Linked DNA regions of Alligator mississippiensis. The protein of the gene in region 1 purifies or fractionates together with the protein of each later gene. This does not show direct contact. Links are inferred from orthologs where the notes say so. Each region holds a gene or a part of one and is shown in the gene's direction. Other genes may lie near its edges.

Region 1 (9,586 bases):
TTAACAGACTTAAGATAATTATTGGGGTGCTCATAACCTTTTGTGGAGAGGACTCCCACCAGTCGTCTCGGGAAAAGTATGGCAACACCTGTGATTAGGGCTCCAACGGGTTGGACGCTGTGATGAACCTTTTACCATTGTTCAAATGCTGCCCATACCCCCTCTGACTCGGTCTCTTGCCTCAGCATTCCCTAACCCGGCAACCGAGTTTTAGTCTATCAAGTTTAAATAGGCCTCCCATAGTGGGACCGGGGAATGTATGGCCCGAGATGCCTATTAAACTTAGAGGTGTGTATGTGTCGGGGGGGGGGGGGGGAGTCCTTAGTAAATCCAGATTAGAACTGGTCTGATAAATGCTGAGCTGGGTGTGTGTGAACATGGGTTGATTAACATTTGAAGCACAGATTCCCCATCATGCAGTGCTCCCCTGCTTCTCTGGTCCCAGAATTCACTGCAGTCTCTGCTTCAGGCTTTCTGTTCTCCATCTCTCATGTAAATGAATGGTCATGTGGTTCCATCTCAGATGCAAATGAGACCTAGGGCAGTTGTTTCACTCTTGTCACCGTTATCTGGAGGGTCTTAGGTGTGTCTCTCACTGCATCTTAATCAGTTTCATTTATGTAGAGGAGCAGAGGGAGGAGGGGGTGAGTCAGACAGACTGCATCCTGTGCCAGGGTTCCCAAGAACACACAGCTGAGATGGAACAACGGCCAGTGGCAGAGATGGGTCTGCCTTCTTCCGAGTCACACTACAGTAATGCAACATCCATCAGGCCATAGACTTTCCTTTTTGAGTCAAGAATGTGCCTGGATTCTTTTTTCTAAGTACTGGTCAAATGAAAATGTTGAAAGGGGTTGCAACTTCAAAAAGGTATTAAAAACCATATCAAATGTGTTTATATATATACATATATATATACAAATGTGTATAATTAATACATTCATCAATTATAAAGCCAGAAGGGGTCACAATGATTTATCTCATCAGACCTCCAGCATAACAGACTTTCCAAATTAATCCTTGTTTGAACTATGGCACAAATTTTAGAAAGACTCTTGCTTTTAAAAATATGTCATGTGGGTAAAAATGTAGCTGTATTGTTACCAAAAACAAAGTACCATTCGGTCTCCAGAGAGACAAGACTACAGCCTAAGATGAGAATTCTTTTGCAAGTTTAGACACAAGTTAAGGGTCAGTTACACGTTCCTTAATGATTACTTTTTTTGAACATCAAATAAGATACAATCACATTTCCCAATGATCCTCCATTCCCTCTTAGCAGATAAGATATTACTACCACCCAAGTCAGATAAAAAGGCAAGAGACAGGTCTAGAGCCCAACACCAAAGCACAATAATAAGCATTTGTCTCTAGCTAGGGCTGGGTATTCAGAATTGCCAACTCTCATGATTTTTGGCATTGTTTTTAAAGTCTCTGCTTCAGGAATGTGAAAACCTTAGTTCTTTCTTTTATCTATATTTAGATTACATCTATATTTATATATAGATTATATACATATATATAATCTATATTTATATATAGAAATAAAAGAAAGAGCTAAGTTTTTCACATTCCTGAAGTGTAGATTTTAAGAACAATGCCAAAAATCATGAGAGTTGGCAACACAGGGTATTTGACCAGGCAAATAAAGTTCAGTCAGTTGACGGGTCAAATGTCAGTCAAAAACTGTAAAAATTTGCCAATAGGTCTAATAATATACAGAAAAAGCACAACATTTTCCATTAAGGAATGTGTCAAAAAGCAATAAAAAATCATATGTCTGTCAAAAAAACTACAATAAATGTAGCTTAAAAAAATATAAAATTGCTATAATTTTTGACCAGTCAAAAAATATGCAGTTAATGGACCAGTCAGTTGATAATACTGGACTGGTCAATTGACTGGCTTGCCAACCCTATCTCAAGTTACCTGCAAGAGCACAACACAGTTTCTCAGCTATACCAACTGGGGGGGAGAGGGGGAGATGCAGAAGGCAGGAGGAAGGTAGCATGCAGGCTAGCATCAGGCATCTTGAATTTGTTGAGGCCTTTCCCAAATACCCAATATTTATATGTGGCTTATTTTAATATTCTGATTGGTGTTATTCAAATTTCTTTGTTTCACTGAGATTTTAGGAACTGGACTATCCCAGCTTTTCTGTGGAAGCCAGTTAGCTGAGGTCTATGTTCTTGTGAAAAATACAACTCTGGGAGAGCGAGAGGACCTCTTATCTCTCTCTCTCCCTCACCCTCTGGGAATGCAATTTGCCATGTTCTGTTTCTTTAACTTTGCTGACTAAGCCAGTTGTAATACATTTACAAAAGTTCATTCTGAAACAGGCTTTGTGGCCTGCTTTAACCACCCTGCTGCTACTTAGCATAAGTCCCTTGAAAGGGGCCAAGGCTGACAACAAGTTAAACAAGACCCATTATTCCTCCAATAAAATTCTAGATGACTACATACAACTTAATTCTTAAAACATCAGTCGTTACCTTTTAGCTTCTATAAAACACTGTCCACAAAGCAGTTATTCATTCTTGGCCTAATCTAATACTAGTGGCCTTGATAAACAGATTCTTATTCTGTTTACCCAGGCTATTGCTTATGACTTAAATGCAAGCTTGTTGATTATTGGTTGTATATCATTTTAAGCACATCATATTCATAACTCAGGCTTCTGCTAGGTCTGTAGTCGGCACTGGTCAGCGTGGTCCATCAGTAATTGACTGTGTCTACAGTTTACAGTATGTATTTCTTGTAGAAATATAGCAATGCCAATGGGATTTTCTGTAAGTAACATTAAGACCTCCTTCTTGTTGTGTCCACTACCATCCAACTTAATTCAGTAATTGGGCACCAATGTTTAAACTAAAAATAAGATGGGACAGTAGGACATGAATGTTCTCTCCCAGGTGCCCACACATTTCAAAAGGGTAGTTTGTATCCAGTACTATTATGGGAAAAGGAGATCACTCACTGAGATGTCTGAATGCTACTGTCTTCTTTCAGCAAAGTATGTGTTTTACTGAGACTTTCAGTAACTGGAGTCCTCAACCGTTGCAAACCTTCTGGCTTGAAAGACTCTCTCTCCTCATCACTTACTGCAGTGGCCAGCAAAAGCGCTTGAGGAGAAACCTTTTATATAAAAAAGATGGTGCTGCTCACAGGATGTTCTTTATGAGGGCTTTTCCCCATGATCTAAATACTCTGAACGCAATGACTTGGGGACAGTGCAAAAGCCATTTATTTTATAAGGTCTAATGAGAAATGCATGACCTTGAGGAGGGTTGTAAGGGGTTGTTTCCTCTGCACTGGTATATTTTCTGGTGGAGTTATTTCATTATTTGCACACAATACACTATTGGAAAATTACCATTTAGGACTCAAACCCTACAGGATTGTTAGCAGTTCCTGGACATGTTGGTATAGGCGGGTTTTTTAAAAAAATTATTTAAATCTGCATGAATAATTCTTAAATTTTACTCATCCTTTGAAACATCACATGTTTGAGCTCTGCCAGTGGCCTGGAGTATTAGGACGAGTCATTTATGAACAGAACACACATTTGCCCCCGGGGGGGGGGGGGAAATCCTAGACTGGGTTCCACCATTTTTAAACCAGTCTGTGCTGAAATTCTGCTCTGTTACGAGTATAGACCAGTTTTGTGTGCTGAATGTCTGTTTTATTACAGGTATAGACTGGTTTCCAATCACTTATACCAGTACAAGTGTAATGTCTGACCCTGGCCTTAAAGACTGGCTTCCTCTTCTCCCAGGGGAACGAGGTGCCACTTTCAGTTAAAAAAAGACCTACCCTCTCTCCCTACTCCTGCTACCCAAGGCATAGGGGGTGCTCAGCTAGGGTGCTGTGACATCCCTTTGAAGAGCGCTATACAATATTAGTGTGGCGAGGCGTGCAAACCCTTGCGCATGATTTCAGATAGGAATTCACACTGTCAAAACCCCATTGCTGCCCTCTGGCTGCCTTCCTGAGTTCTTCTGGGACGAGACTTGCTCTCATCTTGTTGGTCTAGTAGCCTCCGCTCCTCCAAAATATCCCACCCAGGCATAGGCAGCTAAGGTCTGGGTGGCCCTCATGCATACACTGTGCTCCAGGAGGGTCGCCGGTTGCTGCATGGTGGTCTAATAAAAGATATCGTCTCTACTGCAAGTCCTGACTGCCTTGTCCTCTAGACCAATGCGGCTGCAACCTGGATACCCGACATCTCTCGCTTCCCCGCAGTTGAGGAAGAGCGAGAGGCGGCACGAGGCCGCCTGCACTGCAGTCCAAATGAGACCAAGAGCCGCTGGTCTGAAGCCAGGAACAGACGTGAGATGCAGCCTGTCCCGGAGCAGAACAGTCCAGGGCCTGGCATGCCCGCCCAGACCGGGTCTGAACATGTCCTTATCCCAGCATAACCACTCACGCTGGGCCTAGCCCGTGCGTTTGTCTCAAGTTCACCCCGCGCTGAGGCTTTTATTTATTTTTAAGGGGAACTTGACGGGATGGAGGAGGGAGAATCCTGCGGCCCCGCCCCTCGGGCCCCGCTCCGCGCCTGCGCACCAGCCACTTCCCCCCCCCCGCGCATGCGCCGCGCGCTTCCCCTCCCCCGCCCTGGCTGGCGCGGGGGGCTGCGGACGCGAGTCACGATGGCGGCGGCCAGGCCGTGAGCGGCGGCGGCACCCACCCCTCCCCCACGCGGCCCGCCACCCCCGGCTCCCGCGCGCGCGCGCGCGCTGCCTCCCCCCGCCCTCCGCGCCTGCGCACCTGCCCCCCTCCCGGCGCAGCGCAGCGCAGCGCAGCGCAGCGCGGACAGCCCGCGCCAGCAGCCGGCGGGTGGGCGGGGGCGGCCTCGCTGGGCCCGCGGCGCCGCCATGCAGATCACGCTGAAGACGCTGCAGCAGCAGACCTTCAAGATCGATATCGACCCCGAAGAGACGGTGCGGGCCGGGGCCGGGGCCGGGGCCTGCCTGGGCGGGCGGGCGGGCGGGGGGTCGCAAGGGCCTTGGCGGCCGGGGAGGAGCGGAGCGGGCTGCGCGGTGCGGCGCGGCTCCGGGCAGGCCGCAGGCCTCCATGGCTCCTTAGTGCGGGCCCCCGCACCGAGGGCTGAGGCGGCCCGGCCTGCGCTCCTGGGCATGTGAGACTGCAAAACGGCCTGGCTGCCAGCGGGGCGGGGGGATGGGCCCCAGAGGCCTGCCTCCAGCCTCTCCATTGAATCCTGGGACTGGACGTGAGCGAAGACCTGGCCCCAGGGGTGCTGCTGTGGCTCCTCTCAAGCCATGAGCTGGGCTGGATTTAGAGGCGGAACAGGCAGCGATGGTTCCCTGCTCTCCTTAACTCCAGAGCAGCCGTCAGGGTGCTGTGAAATCCCCTCAGAGGGCTGGTCAAAATTCAGGAGAAACTTGTCTGGAAAAGCGGGCCCAGGCAGGGGGGGTTGGTGGTAGGGCTGTACTGCCAGCTCATGCTCCAGAGCCTCATGGTAAAAACCGGAGCCTGTTTAAACCGCCAAATCTTTTCAGGCACCTGGTTAGTCACACTTTTGCTAGTTGAGCGTCCCCTCAGCCTCCTTTTTTAAATATTTCTTGAGACTGAAGTGTGCCACTGCCCCAGATTAAGTTGGAGGCTTGCGCAGAGTCAGGTTGTGTTTGCTCCGGAGAGCCCCTGGAGCATTACACTTCGTGTGCTGTTTTCATGTCCTCCGTGCTAGAGGTAGGCTTATTTACTTGGATCACTGCCCTGTGCTGTGACTGGCCAAAACGGTCTGGTTATGATAGGCCCAGGAAACTTGTTGCTTTTAAACCTGCTGCTGTTTCTAGCATTTTCTGTCTTTTACTTTCCCTGTACAAATCAAACTTAAAACAAGCCTGAGGTTGAGCAACAATGTGAGGCCATCCTGAAACAGCAGCTCTAGGTTCAGCACTAGAAGTATGCAGTTATCAGAAATCATGTTAGTATTTATACATACCACTGAAAATATCATTAACTACTTTTTGTCATTAAACCAGGCATGTCGAACATACAGCCTGTAGGCCAAATTTGACCCATGGGTCTCTCTGCAATGTTAATTGGTGACAGCGGAAGAGAGGACTTATGGCAGCCACAAGATTAATGGTGGCCGCCCCTGATGTTCTTGGGTCGTCTGGCCCATGGGGAGCCTTGTGGTCTGGATTTGGCTCACAAGGCCAAACAACTTTGACATCCCTGTCATAAGCTGTATTGTAACGACTTGAACACTTGGCATTGAACCACTACTTTTTTCCTATTTGACAAAGGAAAAAGCTCAGTGCAATGAGTATATTTTGTAGCTCAGAGCTAGTTTTAAATATTAGTGCTACATTGATTTTAAAAGATGTGACCAGAATTTGCATTTTCTGAATGCTGGACCTAAAACATGAGCTGTTCTATATTTGTCAAAGCACTATTTTTGAAATAACTGAGTGGAGATGGTAGATTGTCCCGCCTGATATAAAACCATTTTTAAGAAAGTTGTGGCTGGCTAAAGACTTCATGGTTTGAAAAGTCCTGTAATGTATGAAATGAGGGAAAATACTACTCAAAGTCCAGGAGATATGTTCAACTTCTGTGGAATGAATTTTGGAGCAAGCATGCAGGGGTCATAGGTGCACCCCTGATATCATATACAGAAAACTGTGTTGCCAGTTGAGCAGGCTTAGTTCTATGACCATTGTCAGTTAAACATTTGTCATGATGATGGACCAAATCACTTGTTCCTGTACTGCTGTGTGGGCACTCTTTGTTTACTAACATCCCTTAATTGAAATTAAATGATTCCCACTACTTGAAGTGGATGCAGTACTATGTAGCTGACACATTCTTGACTGATAGGTGAAAAGCAATTATGACAGTCTGGAGTTATAGACTTGTAAAGCTACTGGTAAAATGAATGCTGTTTAGGATTTAGAGATGCAAATGTATTTAGCATGATCTGGGAGTGTAAACCATTTTAGGTAAAAGTAGCATAGTTGGGTAAAAAAATTCTTCAGCTTCAATACAGTGTTAAATATCACCTTAGACAAAAGTATGTTTATGTTTTAATTACATTTTGCTATGCTGGTATTTGTTCAAACTGGAAAAAATGCCAGGAGCAAGAGGAATGGCAGAGTGAGTGGCAGTTGTCTTTACACAGCTTTTTCGTTAACAGAGCATGCATTTTCATGTGTTAGCATTCTGCCACAGTATTTGAACATTTGTATGGAAAGCTTGCTTCAAGAAAGTGTCAACAGGAAACTCTTGAAGTTAGGGTAGCTTATTTTTCAAGCCAATGACTAAATGCATTCTGTTTAACACAGGACTGTCCAGATTGTAAGCGGTTGTGGTTCACAGACCATACCAATGGGGCTGCATTCTCCAGGGGCCACACTTCTACAAGCCACAGCTCCTGTACTGCATGAACGATTAACCCCCCACACACACACTGCCACACCACTGTGCGCCATGTAGTGTGGCATTTTGTCCCTTGGGACAGGAGCAAAAAAGGAAAAGTTGTGGGAAGGAGGGGTACCTTAGAGACCTCAGCTGCAGTAGCAGCTGGAGCAGTAAGGGGAGCAGCAGCCAGGTAGGAGCTTGAGGTCTGTTTATTAACCTGTTGTGGGACAGCCTTGCTTAAACATGCATAGATATTTTGCTTCATTCCTAACATCCTTGTCATTCTGCAATATATATGTTAGAGAAATTTAAGGTAGGTACTAATTTCAACCCTACTGAATGTACCTTGGAGTGTGTTCTAGCAAAGCAGTAGCCTTGGGCATGGAGGAGATCCAGCAGAGCTGTCATCTGAGATTAAAGTGGGAAAGGTGCACAGAATAGAGTTTTGGGTCTAAAGTTATGTAGTAATCCAGGAAAGATTATCAAGAGTTGTTGGTGGATGCTGGGAAAAAGATACTCAAATAGGAATATACAAAGGATTTCGGTGGATTGGTAAAATGTCTGTCTAGCAATTAATCATAGGGGTAAAAAAACTATTGTCAGTTACAGGGGCACAGAACATGGTTAAAATCCATCAAGGCTCTTCTGGTGAAGTACTCACTAATAGCTTTAGGGAAAGTATCTTAAAATAATTTGTAGCTCTAGTTCTGTTTTGAGTTTTTTTCTAGTCACAATGATAAATCTGTGAATTACATCATGCACTGCACTAAAGTAATCCATTGGGTGATTGAAATGGTAGCTACATATGCAAATTTGATTCCAGAAGACCATGGCTTCCTCAATTCTGCTTAGTTGTGTTATAGACCATCTGATTAAGAGCAGTCAGTGGTCAGTGAGCAGTCAGCTATACAATTTCAAACCATGCTTGCGGGGTTGATTTTGTGCTAGCTGGGAAAAGATGCTTAGAAACAAATGGAGTTGGGTTAGTATCTGACTAGTGATCATGTGAATTTTTCAGGGCTGAACCAAATCTTGCAAGGTGAGCTTTTGGGGTTGAGTTGGGAATACAGCTATAGTTTTAGTAGCATTTGTGTGAAGCCTGAGATTGGTGTATACCATAGTATACAGATGGGAAGAAGGTGGAAGATCTTCCTTTAAATTAGTAGTTCTTAACCTTATTAGCATCAAGACACACCGTGGAAAATGCCAACTCCTAGCTTTCACTCTTTTTCACAAAAAATAATACATTGATTCTTCTATTGCAAAGAACTTAGGAAGCCCCCAACAGGGCAGAATGTTTTTAACCCTGTGGATTCCTTTTGGAAATCTCTGGGTTTATCTTGTGAATTGTGTTTGCCCATCTAACAGTGCTAAAATTATGTAACACTGTATAGTACCCTTCAAAGGTATAGTACCGTTCAAAGGATTCCAAGGCACCTAAAGCCCTCTGGTAGAGAGAGAATCGCTGATTTAAACGTATCAAACTACCAGTCCCTTAAAAGGCACAAAAACAATAATGCTGGAAGATCTCTAAGGTGGAGTTCACATCTCTTAAACTGTAAAAGCTAGAACAGACATTTTGAAGGTGGTGTCAGAAGGCTTAATTTGTGAGACAACTTTACACAATAGCAAAAGATCAATTGGTTCACAAGCAGACAGATCTAAAATGGAACTTCCGTTACTATGAGGTACACTTGAAAGACATCTTTTCTATTTTCTGCTTATTTTCTTTATTTTTGTCCTTTTTTTCCCCTAAGTCCCTTTGTGGCTGTCTCCATCCCAAATGTGCTTGTGCAGCTCATTCAGATACAACTCTGTGGCAGTGTTAGCAAAAACACAAGACTGATTAGCTTATAGGAGAACTAATATTAAGAACAGTGGGTTGGAGGATTAAATATTCTCATGATCTTGTACAGAATTCATATTTCCACTTCAAGGCAGGAGGTGTGCTGCCACGTCCCACATCCTTAAAATTTGTTCCCCTAGAACAGGGGTGACCAAGATGAAACTCATGGTCCAGATCTGGACTGTGGAGCCTTGCATTCAGCTTGTAGGTCTCCCCATACGTCCAGTAATTTGGTGGGTGGTGAGTAGTGACAGTTTATTGTTGCTGCTTGTCCTGCTGCCAAATTTCTGGACTTGGGGGCCCCATGGGCTGAATCACAGTGTAGAGCTGCATCATCTGGCTCATGAGGCTACC
Region 2 (9,871 bases), on another chromosome or scaffold:
GCTGCCAAATTTCACTTGAATTTAAAGGTGAAAACATTTGTGACAAACTTGGCTAGAAAAGAAATACTTTGCTACAAGAGGAGACACCCAAAAGAAAAACAATGGCTCTGGAGAGCTCAGATGCACGAAGTACAATGTAGGGATGTGGCAGGTTAAGCTGTACTTACATTTATGCTGCTAATGCATGACAGTCAACGTTTAACAGTTAACATATTGTTTGAAGCATGGCTTGGGTTTGGTAGGGGGGAGTTAATTGTATCAGGTTTTCAAATGGTATTGAGTGAATTATTGTATGGTTTACCGATCCTACAGAATGCGGCAGCGCCGTGTCCCTCAACCTGGCCTGTCCACCCCGTTGCACCGGAGCGGTGCGACCCTCATCCCAACAGATAGGTATGTGTTATCAGTTAAACAGCTAACCGATATAATTAGAAGAGCTGTCGTGGCTTATTTTTTCAACAATATTTACATCCCTAGTACAATGCCAGTTCTTCCTACTCAGAGGCAAATAAGAACTCAGCAGGACAAAGCGCTACTTCACTGATCTGTTCCTACCACCCTGCTTCTCATTTGCATTATGGTTACATATATATTTTTTGTGCTAACAAAAAAATAGGACAAAGCCGCCCTCTATGCGGTCAGATAGGCAAAACATCTTAAAGATTAAGGCTCAGAAAGCACATTGTGTTTTTCAGCAGACAGGCTTATCTCGGACATCTGACTGTCGAAGTGTACCTAGGTCCCCAGATGGAAAGTCGAGGCAAGTCAGTCCGGAGGCCACTGTGACACCTTAGATGCTTTGCATCACTGGTGATTCTTCGAGCAAAGTGGCGCCCATCTCCTCTCCAGGTATCCATGGCCATTGGCTCACGGGGAGCTCATCTGCCCTTTGACAGGTCTTGTTTTTAGTCCTGCTGTGTGTCCACACACCCTCCTCACCCAGGTTAGCCCGGGGGGGGCACCGGTTTAGTCACCGACAACCGACCATGGAACAGGTTGTACCGGTCTACATGGTACCAGATAGCAGACCACAAGAGGCCTGGCTTGACAGACCAGATAGAAAGTGGTATTGTGCAATTGCCCATTTCCATCCTTCCTTTATTTTCTGTCCATAAAAAAGGGAAGTAAATGCAAATCCTGCTCTTACCACATGGCAGTTACAGGATGTAAACACAGGTCAGGCAATGAAAGTATCCTGCTGCAGTTTGATGCCCCGGTTCTGCAAACAAGCCCACAGGAACCCTCTGCGGGCCCGGGGTTGCCTGCAGCACCTGTTCGTGCGGATCCGCTTGCAAGAACCGGTTCCCACCAGGCTCGTAAGCCATACTTCCATGACTACTGAGGCTGGTCAACCATCACTTAAGCACAGCAGGCCGAGTCCTCGGTGAGCATAAAGCAGTGTAACTCTAGCAACGCACCATGTGGGAGAGAGAAAATGCCAGCAGAAACCTGAATCGATCATGACATGCCTAACTGAGGATCAAGGCTCGTGGTGGAGGTGATCTCTTTGGTCAGACCAACAAGAGTTTTGCAAAAAAAATTATTTATCTGTAATTAAAGCCTTTTTTTTCCCCGCAAAAATCTTGTTGGTCTGACCAAAGAGATCGCCTCTACCACGAGCCCCGATTGCCTTTTCCCCTAGGCCATTACGGCTACAACCCGGGTACCTAACCAAGGATCACATATATATATATATGTCAACTTCCTTGGGGACGAACAGGCACCGGACTGTACACGGGACCAACAAACACCCCTCCAGATCACATGCGCCACATGCAAGATCCAACTCAGATGCCAGCCGGGTGAGTCTTGAAAGAGATCCCCTCCACCACGAGCCCCAGCCGGGCGGGTCTTGAAAGAGATCCCCTCTACCAGGAGCCTTGCAGGCCGCGTCGCAAGAAGGCAGTCGATGAAACAAAGGATCCGCGTCCGGCTGAACTAGTCGCCCAGCTATGGCAGCCGGGTCAGAGAAGCGCGGCGAGGAAGCGGGAGGAGAGGCCAGCGTTTGCTCTGCTCGTGGGAAAGTGCCTCCTCCTACGTGCCGGGCTGCACCTCTCACTTCCCCTGGCTCTTTCCTCCCCCTGCGGCTCTCTGCTGAGCAGCAAGGCAGGGGAATTAAAACCCGAAAAGGCATGTCTAAAACCAGAAACGGCGGCTGCAGAGCGCAGGACGCGGGGCTGGCTCCAGAAATCCCACCTCCGCGTGTGTTTCGTCCGGCCGGACCTCAGCGGTCCCAGCTGGCTCTGCCGGGTCGCACCCCCCTGCCCTGCCCTCCTCTCCTCTCCCCGGGGCCCGGCCGGGCCGGGAGCGCTCACCCGGCAGAAGCAGCGCTGCTCCGCGGAGCCCGGCGGCTGCAGCCCCAGCGCCGCCCCGACCAGCAGCGGCAGCAGCGGCAGCAGCAGCGGCATCGCCCGTGCGCGGCGCATGGCTCGGTGTGCGGCGCCGCCGGCGCCCGGCCGCTCTAGAGCCGCGCGCGGCTCCGCCCCGGGGCGCGGCCGGGATCGCCCCCCCGCCCGCCGCGGACGTGCCGCCCGGCTCGGCTCGGCTCGGCTCCCCCCACCCACGCGGGACACGCCCGCCCCCGCTGACCCCCGCCCGCCCCGCACACGCGTGCCCGGCCGGCACCCGCCCAGGCAAGCACCGCCCGCGGCGCTGCACCCTTCCCGAGAGCGCGGGCCCCTCGCTTCCTGGCTCCGGGAAAGATGCCGGAGCAAGGAGAGGCGTTGGCAAGTCACATCCCCAGGCAGGACCGGCCAACCCATGGTGTGAGCCGGTGGTTTCCCACCTGCCCGAGATGGCAAGCCTGGGCGTACTCTTCAAAGGGGCCCGCGCTTCCTTTGGACATGTTTTAGGGGGCCGCAAATGAAAGAGGTTGAGCTAAGCTCTATGTAAGGGGGTGGTCACGCACAGACGTGACCCCCGAAGGTGTTGCGGGTGAAGCTGGGGAACCGGGCAGCCGAGGTGCTGCTTCTAGGGGATGCTGTCATATACGTGATGTAGGGGCCGTGCCCCCCCTACACAGGAAGGCAACCCCCCAGTCCATGCCAGTCTGAGCAGGGGGGGAATCCCTCCCTGACCCCACGTGGCGCTGGTCTGACCCTGAGCAGAGAGGCAAGACCTAGACGGTCCACGAGACGTGGGATAGGCAGGGAGAGCAAAACAGGGGGCTGACTAACACCCCTTTGCTCTTGGGATGGGAGATGGATGCGTGGAGAAGTGGATCATAGGTGTGGACACGGTCTTGAGGGTCATCTGGTCCAACCCTTGCATGAATGCAGAGATGCTATTTTTAAACTACCCCTTTGAAGCACTCATCTAGCCTCATCTTGAAAGCCTCCAGGAAGGAGTCCACAACTTCCTCGGGGAATCTATTTCATTGCCCCATTGCTTGAAAAGCGAGGAAGTCTTTCTCAGAAAGGCAGGTCCCTGAACACATCATTGCTGAGCCAGCACAAGCCAGCTCTGAAGAGCACCTGCGAAAAGCAACATTGCACAAAATGAGTAATTCTCGGAGCACCATTCACCCGATGTGACTGAGCGGTGATGCAGCCTGATTTGTCCTGACGGCTCCCTAGAAATAATAGCTTCCTTACGGCTTACCCGCGATTGACACTTCCCTGTTCAAATGACAGTTTCTACAGAATGACGTGACTAACGTCCTCGTCATAATATTTACCTGCCTTTGTGTGCTTCGATGGGCACCTACATCAAAACGCACCTAATGCACCATCAAGGAAGGGAAGTATAAATACACCGTGATGCGTGCACCAGGAAGCTGAGACAGCAGGATTTCCAAACCGGGGGGCCTGATCGTAGGTAAACCGCATCCAGGTGAACACAACCGGGTCAGTTTTCAAAAGTGCTTCCTCCCCTTGCTGGCAGCCGGCGCGGTGCAGCACCCGTGATGCGGTCACACACACAGCAAATACAATTGCGGGCTACACCAGCAGGAGTAAGAGGTGCCGCACGGCTGTGCGAGGTGATAGTACCACTCTACTCGGGGCAGGTTAGGCCTCAGCTAGGGCACGGTGTACTGTCCACGTTTTAAGAAGGACGTGGAGAGCCTGGAGAGGGTCCAGAGCAGGGTGGACAGAATATGGCCCACAGGGCAGGCCGGATTCAATGTGCTAAGGGATTTTATCTGGCCTGTGGTCCCATCCCATCTACCCAGCCAAGCACAGCCTGCTTGCAGGGGTCCCAGTGTCTGTGGAGACCCTGCCTGCTCCGTCCTGCGCTCGTGGTGGTGGGTGTAGGGACAGGTCTGGGCCAGATACAATCAATTGCCTACCCCGTGCCAAGCCAGGTCAGCACCCCCCATCCCGCCAAGCTGGGCCAGGTCAGCACGCCCCGACCTTGCAGCAGCTCACCAAAATAATTACCCAGCCCTGGTCAGGAGGATGGAGGGCAAGCTGTTCAGGACAGCAAAGTATGTTTTGCTCAGAGAAAAGGTGGCTGAGAAAGGGCATGATAGCAGTCTGCAAACATCTGAAAAGCTGCCATAAGGAGGAGGGAGAACAGCTGTTCTCCTGCTGCAGACAGGACACCAAGGGATGGTTTGAAACTGCAGCAAAGCGGATTCAGACGAGATCTCAGAAAAAACTTCCTGCTGTCCGAGCAGCGAGGCAGTGGAACAGGCTGCCCGGGGAAGTCATGGACTCCTTCCTGGAGGCTTTCAAGAGGAGGCTAGATGAGCACTTCAAAGGGGTAGTTTAGAAATAGCATCCCTGCATTCATGCAAGGGTCGGACCAGATGACCCTCAAGGCCGCGTCCACACCTGTGATCCGCTGCCCCCCGTGTCCATCTCTCATCCCAAGAGGGAAGGGGTGGAAGTCAGTCCCCTGTTTTGCACTGCCTATCCCACCTCTCACAGGGTTGCGAATCAGCATGGCACAACGGGGTTAACCTGTCCCCGAACCCAGTGGGGGATACCGCTGGCTGCATGACCCCTTCCCTAGAGCCCCCTCCTCAATTTCAGTGGATCGTGGAGCAGCTGTGACCACGGGGAATCCTTGGGGCTGGACTACCAGGAAGGAGGAAGGTGGCTGTCACCCAGTGAGTCCTTCCCTCTCGCGTGTGACACAGGAAGTCCAGGGAGCGTGGCATCCTCGGAGCCGTGCTGCACCCAGGCAGCAGGCACTTTCTGGCCTGGCGGGAGAGCAAGAAGGCAGTGGGAAACAAGACCCCAGGCAGCTCCCACAAAATGCCAGCTCTTCCTTTCCACTTGTGTTTTGACTCCAGAAAAATAATAGAGCAATTTTGCTGTTGCAAAGAGCTCAGCAAGGCCCCACCAGGTCCGGATGGTTTTTAACAGCGTGGATTGCTGTTTGCAATGTCCGGGTTTGTCTCGTGAATCATGTTCGCGCACCTCCCGGCACGGACCTCGAAGCACCCCGGGCGGCCGCAGCACCCCGCTGGAGCCACCGCCGCACGCTCTCGCGGGGGAAGCAGCGAGGATGCTACTTCCTTACGTAAACGGGGTGCAGCAGCCTAGCTGCGAGCCACCGGGAATGCAGCAGGACCAGGATTGTTTGTGATGCCTTTTATTGGCGCAGCCGTGCGCTCGGGAGAGGTGCTGGGCAAGCCTTGGGGCATCAAGGGCTCTTCCGCAGGGCTGGGAAAGGAGGAGACAGATGAAGAGCAGCCTCCGTGGCAGTGCAAACCACCTCCGTGTGCACACTACAGAGCTGTTTGCACGCACAGCCTCAGCGGGAGGCTGCGCTGGAGCCGCGGAGGAGCCAGGAGGTAGCAGGTGGCGGTGCACGGCGCGCCGCCGCCGCCTCCCCGCCAGGGGGCGCGGGCGGGCGGGCGGCAGCAGCGCGCGTGCGCGCGGGCGGCCCCGCCCCCCGGCGGCCCGGCCCGGCCCGCCCCGCCCCCGGCGGCCATGGCCCTTCCCGGCATTCCCTATGAGCGGCGGCTGCTCATCATGGCGGACCCGAGAGACAAGGCGCTGCAGGACTACCGCAAGAAGCTGCTGGAGCACAAGGAGATCGACGGCCGCCTCAAGGAGTGTGAGCGCTGCCGCTGCGGGTCGGCCGGGCCGGGGCTGAGGGGAGCCGGGCCTGGAGCCGAGCCGGGCCGGGCCGGGTGGGCCGGGCGAGGCGCTTAGTCACGGGCCCGAGGGCCGGGGGGCGGGGCCTGCGGCGGCGGGGGGGGGACGACGACACCTGACCCCTCCTCGTGATGTCACTGGGGGCGGGGCTGAGAGGGGTCTCTCCCCCTCAGGTAGGGGGGCTGCCTGGCCCCTCCCCATGACATCACTGGGGGTGGGGCTGAGGGGTCTTCCCCTCAAGAGGGGGGTGGGGGGGTGCCTGACCCCTCCCCATGATGTCACTGGGGGCGGGACTGAGGGGGGGTCTCTTCCCCTCAGGCAGGGGGGCTGCCTGGCCCCTCCCCATGACCTCACTGGGGGTGGGGCTGAGGGGGGGGTCTCTTCCCCTCAGGCAGGGGGGCTGCCTGGCCCCTCCCCATGACCTCACTGGGGGTGGGGCTGAGGGGGGGGTCTCTTCCCCTCAGGAGAGGAGGGGGGGTGGCTGGCCCCTCCCCATGACCTCACTGGGGGTGGGGCAGAAGGGGGGGGTCTTCCCCTTAGGAAGAGGTGGTACCTGGCTCCTCCCCATGATGTCACTGGGGGTGAGGCTGAGGGGGGCCCCTTCCCCTCAGGAGGGGGAGGGGAGCAGTGACCTTGCCCCTGCCTGGATGTGGAGCTTGACGGACCCCCGTGTTGCCCCCGCAGTGCGCGAGCAGCTGAAGGAGCTCACCAAGCAGTACGAGAAGTCGGAGAACGACCTCAAGGCCCTGCAGAGCGTCGGGCAGGTGCGGCGGACGGGCTGCCCCAGGGCTTTCTTGGACGGGTCTTTTCTTGGGCTGCCTGTGCTGGGGGTGACGTCAGACAAGTTTTGGAGGTCAGGGATGCTGCCTCGGGCCCTGGAGAGCTCTGGGTGCCTATAGACGAGGCTGCTGCAACGTGCTGTGATCGAGTCTGTGGCAACTACCGCGCTCCAGCAGACTCCAGTGTCTCGTGTATCAGCATCCCCATGCTTACAAATGGTGGCAGGGGTGCTTTAACTAAAACTCGGTGGACAAGCATTACTTCAAATGCCCCCACTGCCAGTTTTAAGCACAGGGATGCTGATATGCTAGCCACTCCACGCGCGTTAAGTAGAGCGTCTTTTGGAGCTGCTCTAATTCAAGCACCCCCTCAACTCCTGAAGCATGTGTATCAACACCCTCTGAAAGCTGAGGGAGAGCGTCTTGTGCTCAGCTGCCAGTCTAACTTTATCCCAGTGACATGGTTGGTCCAGTAAAAGACACCACCCTCAGAAGTCTTTGCCCCTCGCCTAATTTCCCGGCTATAGCAGCTACAGCATCACCCTATGCTGACTGCTATACAAGGGAGTGTAAAATAAATCACAGCTGAAGCAGAGCCTAGGGAAACAGGTAGTGCTTGTGGAGTGGCTGTTAATTGTTTTGAGGATAATTTAGTGTGCCCTATGCAACGTATCTATTCTACATGATATATCTAATGGTATTTTTCCCTGTTTCTCTTGTTTAGATTGTGGGGGAGGTTCTAAAGCAGCTAACAGAAGAGAAGTGTAAGTACAGGCACTTGCTTGAAATGTTGTCTTCCTAAAGTAAACCAAAAGGCCAGCGTGGTCACACTGTCTTTTAAATCACTGGATTTGCACAGCACTGTGAAAATATTGGGCATGTGTACACAGGACATTTACTTTGCAGTAAACTAATTAGCTGCCCAGTAAATGTCATGCATCTACATGTGTGCCCCTATTAAACTAGTTCACAGCAGTGAACATGTAGATACTGCCCCGGTTAGCTGAGGCATGAGGGTGCTTTATTACAGGGGCTACCTGCTGGCTAGCCTCACACCGAAGCACCGTTATGCCCCAGCCAGCCCCTCCACAGCACTTTGAGCCAGGGGAAGCAGCCCCCGACTGGCAAGCTGACCCCTTTGGGCCCCCTGCCAGCTGGGGCTGCTCTGACACAGCTCGACGTGCTGCAGTCCCAGGTGCGAACGTTAAACAGTGCACCCGGAGCATTAAGCTGAGTTATTTCTCCATAGTTTCTTTGCATTAATATGCACATGTAGACATGCCCGTTGTGTGGTACTTGGTATTGCTCAGTAGCAGGGAGACGGGTGAAGGACAGTGTGTAAACTTGTTTTATATGTTCTTTTTTTTTTTTCTTCTAGTTATTGTGAAGGCTACAAATGGGCCACGATATGTGGTTGGCTGTCGTCGTCAGGTAAGCCTGCTTTACATGGATACTGTTAAATAGCTTGCTTTCATGTTAAATGCTCTAGTTGCTTTGTCTCAGCAGTGTTTTATAAATTTGTACAGTTCTGTGCTTTCTTTGTTCACTTGTGCTTGGCCCCAGTGTGCAGTTTTCTCTGTACCCTAGTGATGGCCTGTGAAAGATCAAGAATATTGGACTTGAATAAGAAAGCAAAAAGGATACAGTCCAAGAAGTTTCTGGGGATTTTGAGATGTTTGATCCATCCCATCGATTTAACACCTCCCTCCCCCATATCTCATCAGATGGTTTCTGCCCATCTCAGGTGGTTGGAAAGGTTATGCCTCCACATCTAACCATAGAAGTGTGTGCAACTTTGGTTTCCATCATGCTGTCCTTTTCTAGTTGCACTGAACCTCCTGCCTGGTTCAGTTTTTCTTTTAATACTGTATTCTCAAAATCACCCCATTGTGTATATGTTGTGATAATTACATAGTTTCTGGAAGAAAGTTATAAGCTTTAGTTATGTGATCTGGGTGCTTTCAGTTAAGGGTTGACTGTTGCTCATTTCAAGTTTTATACTGTGAGCCTGTGACGGGGGGCCATCATGTCACCATACTGATCTGCCCCTTTGTCTAGGGCAGTCTGCCCTGTTTCGCCTGCCATGACTTGCTGTAAAATGGACCTAATGTAATAAGCAGAAGGCTGCCCATTTTAATGCCCTGATACCAAGGAGCACTATCCACAGCTCCATACCACCCCTACGCTGTGGCTGATTCCTCGCAGATGGCATCCAGATTATAATTAAACGTCCGGTCTAAGGCCGGGCAAAACTCGGTCCACTGTTGGTCCTCTTATACACCGCCCCTTTCAGGACCACATTCATACCGCCTCCCTGTCACTGGTGCCTCTTCAACTCTGCCCATCACTGAGCCACTTGCAACCTGCCCTGCTCCCTTGAGTGACCAAATAGGCCATCAGACTTGCCTACTCACGCTCCTTGACTGGCCGGTGCTCAGCCTTTTGGGCCTGTCCTGTGACCCTCATCTGAACAGTGACCGGCCAATTTGCCTACCAGTGGGCTGACTGCTCCTAACCCAGGGGCGGGCAATTATTTCAGGCAGAGGGCCACTTACCAAGTTTTGGCAAGCCATCGAGGCCCGCGTGGGTCGCCCTGCCTTTTGACAGGTGCCCCACCCCCTGGTTGCCACCTTGGAACCAGAAGTCCCACCCCCTAACCCCTGACTTTTGCTCCCCTTGCCCCCCAGAATTACTCCTTTCAGCAAGGGTTTTTTGCCATCTCTGAACCAGAAAAATACCACATTATATTCTAAAAATTAAACATGTACTACAACATTCATTAATTTCATTTCAAAAAATATTTTTGTCCTGATTTACATGTGTTTGTGTAGTGTACATAGAGGTGACAATATAACAGCTTAAAATGAAGTCCTACTCTTGTATATTGTGGGAGGGTGTGGGTGGGAGGTGGGGTATAGGTTTGTGGGTATGTGGGGTGTAGAGGAGGGAAGGTGTGTGTGTGTGTGTGTATGTTAAATTTGTGTGGGGGGTGTTGGGTGTGGGTGGGTATGGGGCTTGGGGCATGTGAGTGTGTGGGGGGAA

The links. Proteins that work in one complex are often made in the same cells at the same time.
Region 2: the proteins of RAD23B (region 1) and PSMC6 fractionate together in Homo sapiens (co-fractionation; 4 studies listed by BioGRID and IntAct, with this or other methods). This does not show direct contact. The link is inferred for Alligator mississippiensis from reciprocal best matches to the Homo sapiens genes RAD23B and PSMC6.

What each region holds. Positions count from the first base shown.
Region 1 is NC_081826.1:159,380,399-159,389,984, forward strand, and holds the start of RAD23B (UV excision repair protein RAD23 homolog B), read left to right. Parts: upstream 1-4,660; 5' UTR 4,661-4,874; coding exon 4,875-4,940; intron 4,941-9,586. UniProt on the Homo sapiens protein: Multiubiquitin chain receptor involved in modulation of proteasomal degradation. Binds to polyubiquitin chains.
Region 2 is NC_081825.1:300,636,699-300,646,569, reverse strand, and holds the start of PSMC6 (26S proteasome regulatory subunit 10B), read left to right. Parts: upstream 1-5,880; 5' UTR 5,881-5,882; coding exon 5,883-6,009; intron 6,010-6,734; coding exon 6,735-6,814; intron 6,815-7,553; coding exon 7,554-7,593; intron 7,594-8,207; coding exon 8,208-8,260; intron 8,261-9,871. Other genes in the region: ERO1A (ERO1-like protein alpha), read right to left, coding at 2,316-2,426. UniProt on the Homo sapiens protein: Component of the 26S proteasome, a multiprotein complex involved in the ATP-dependent degradation of ubiquitinated proteins.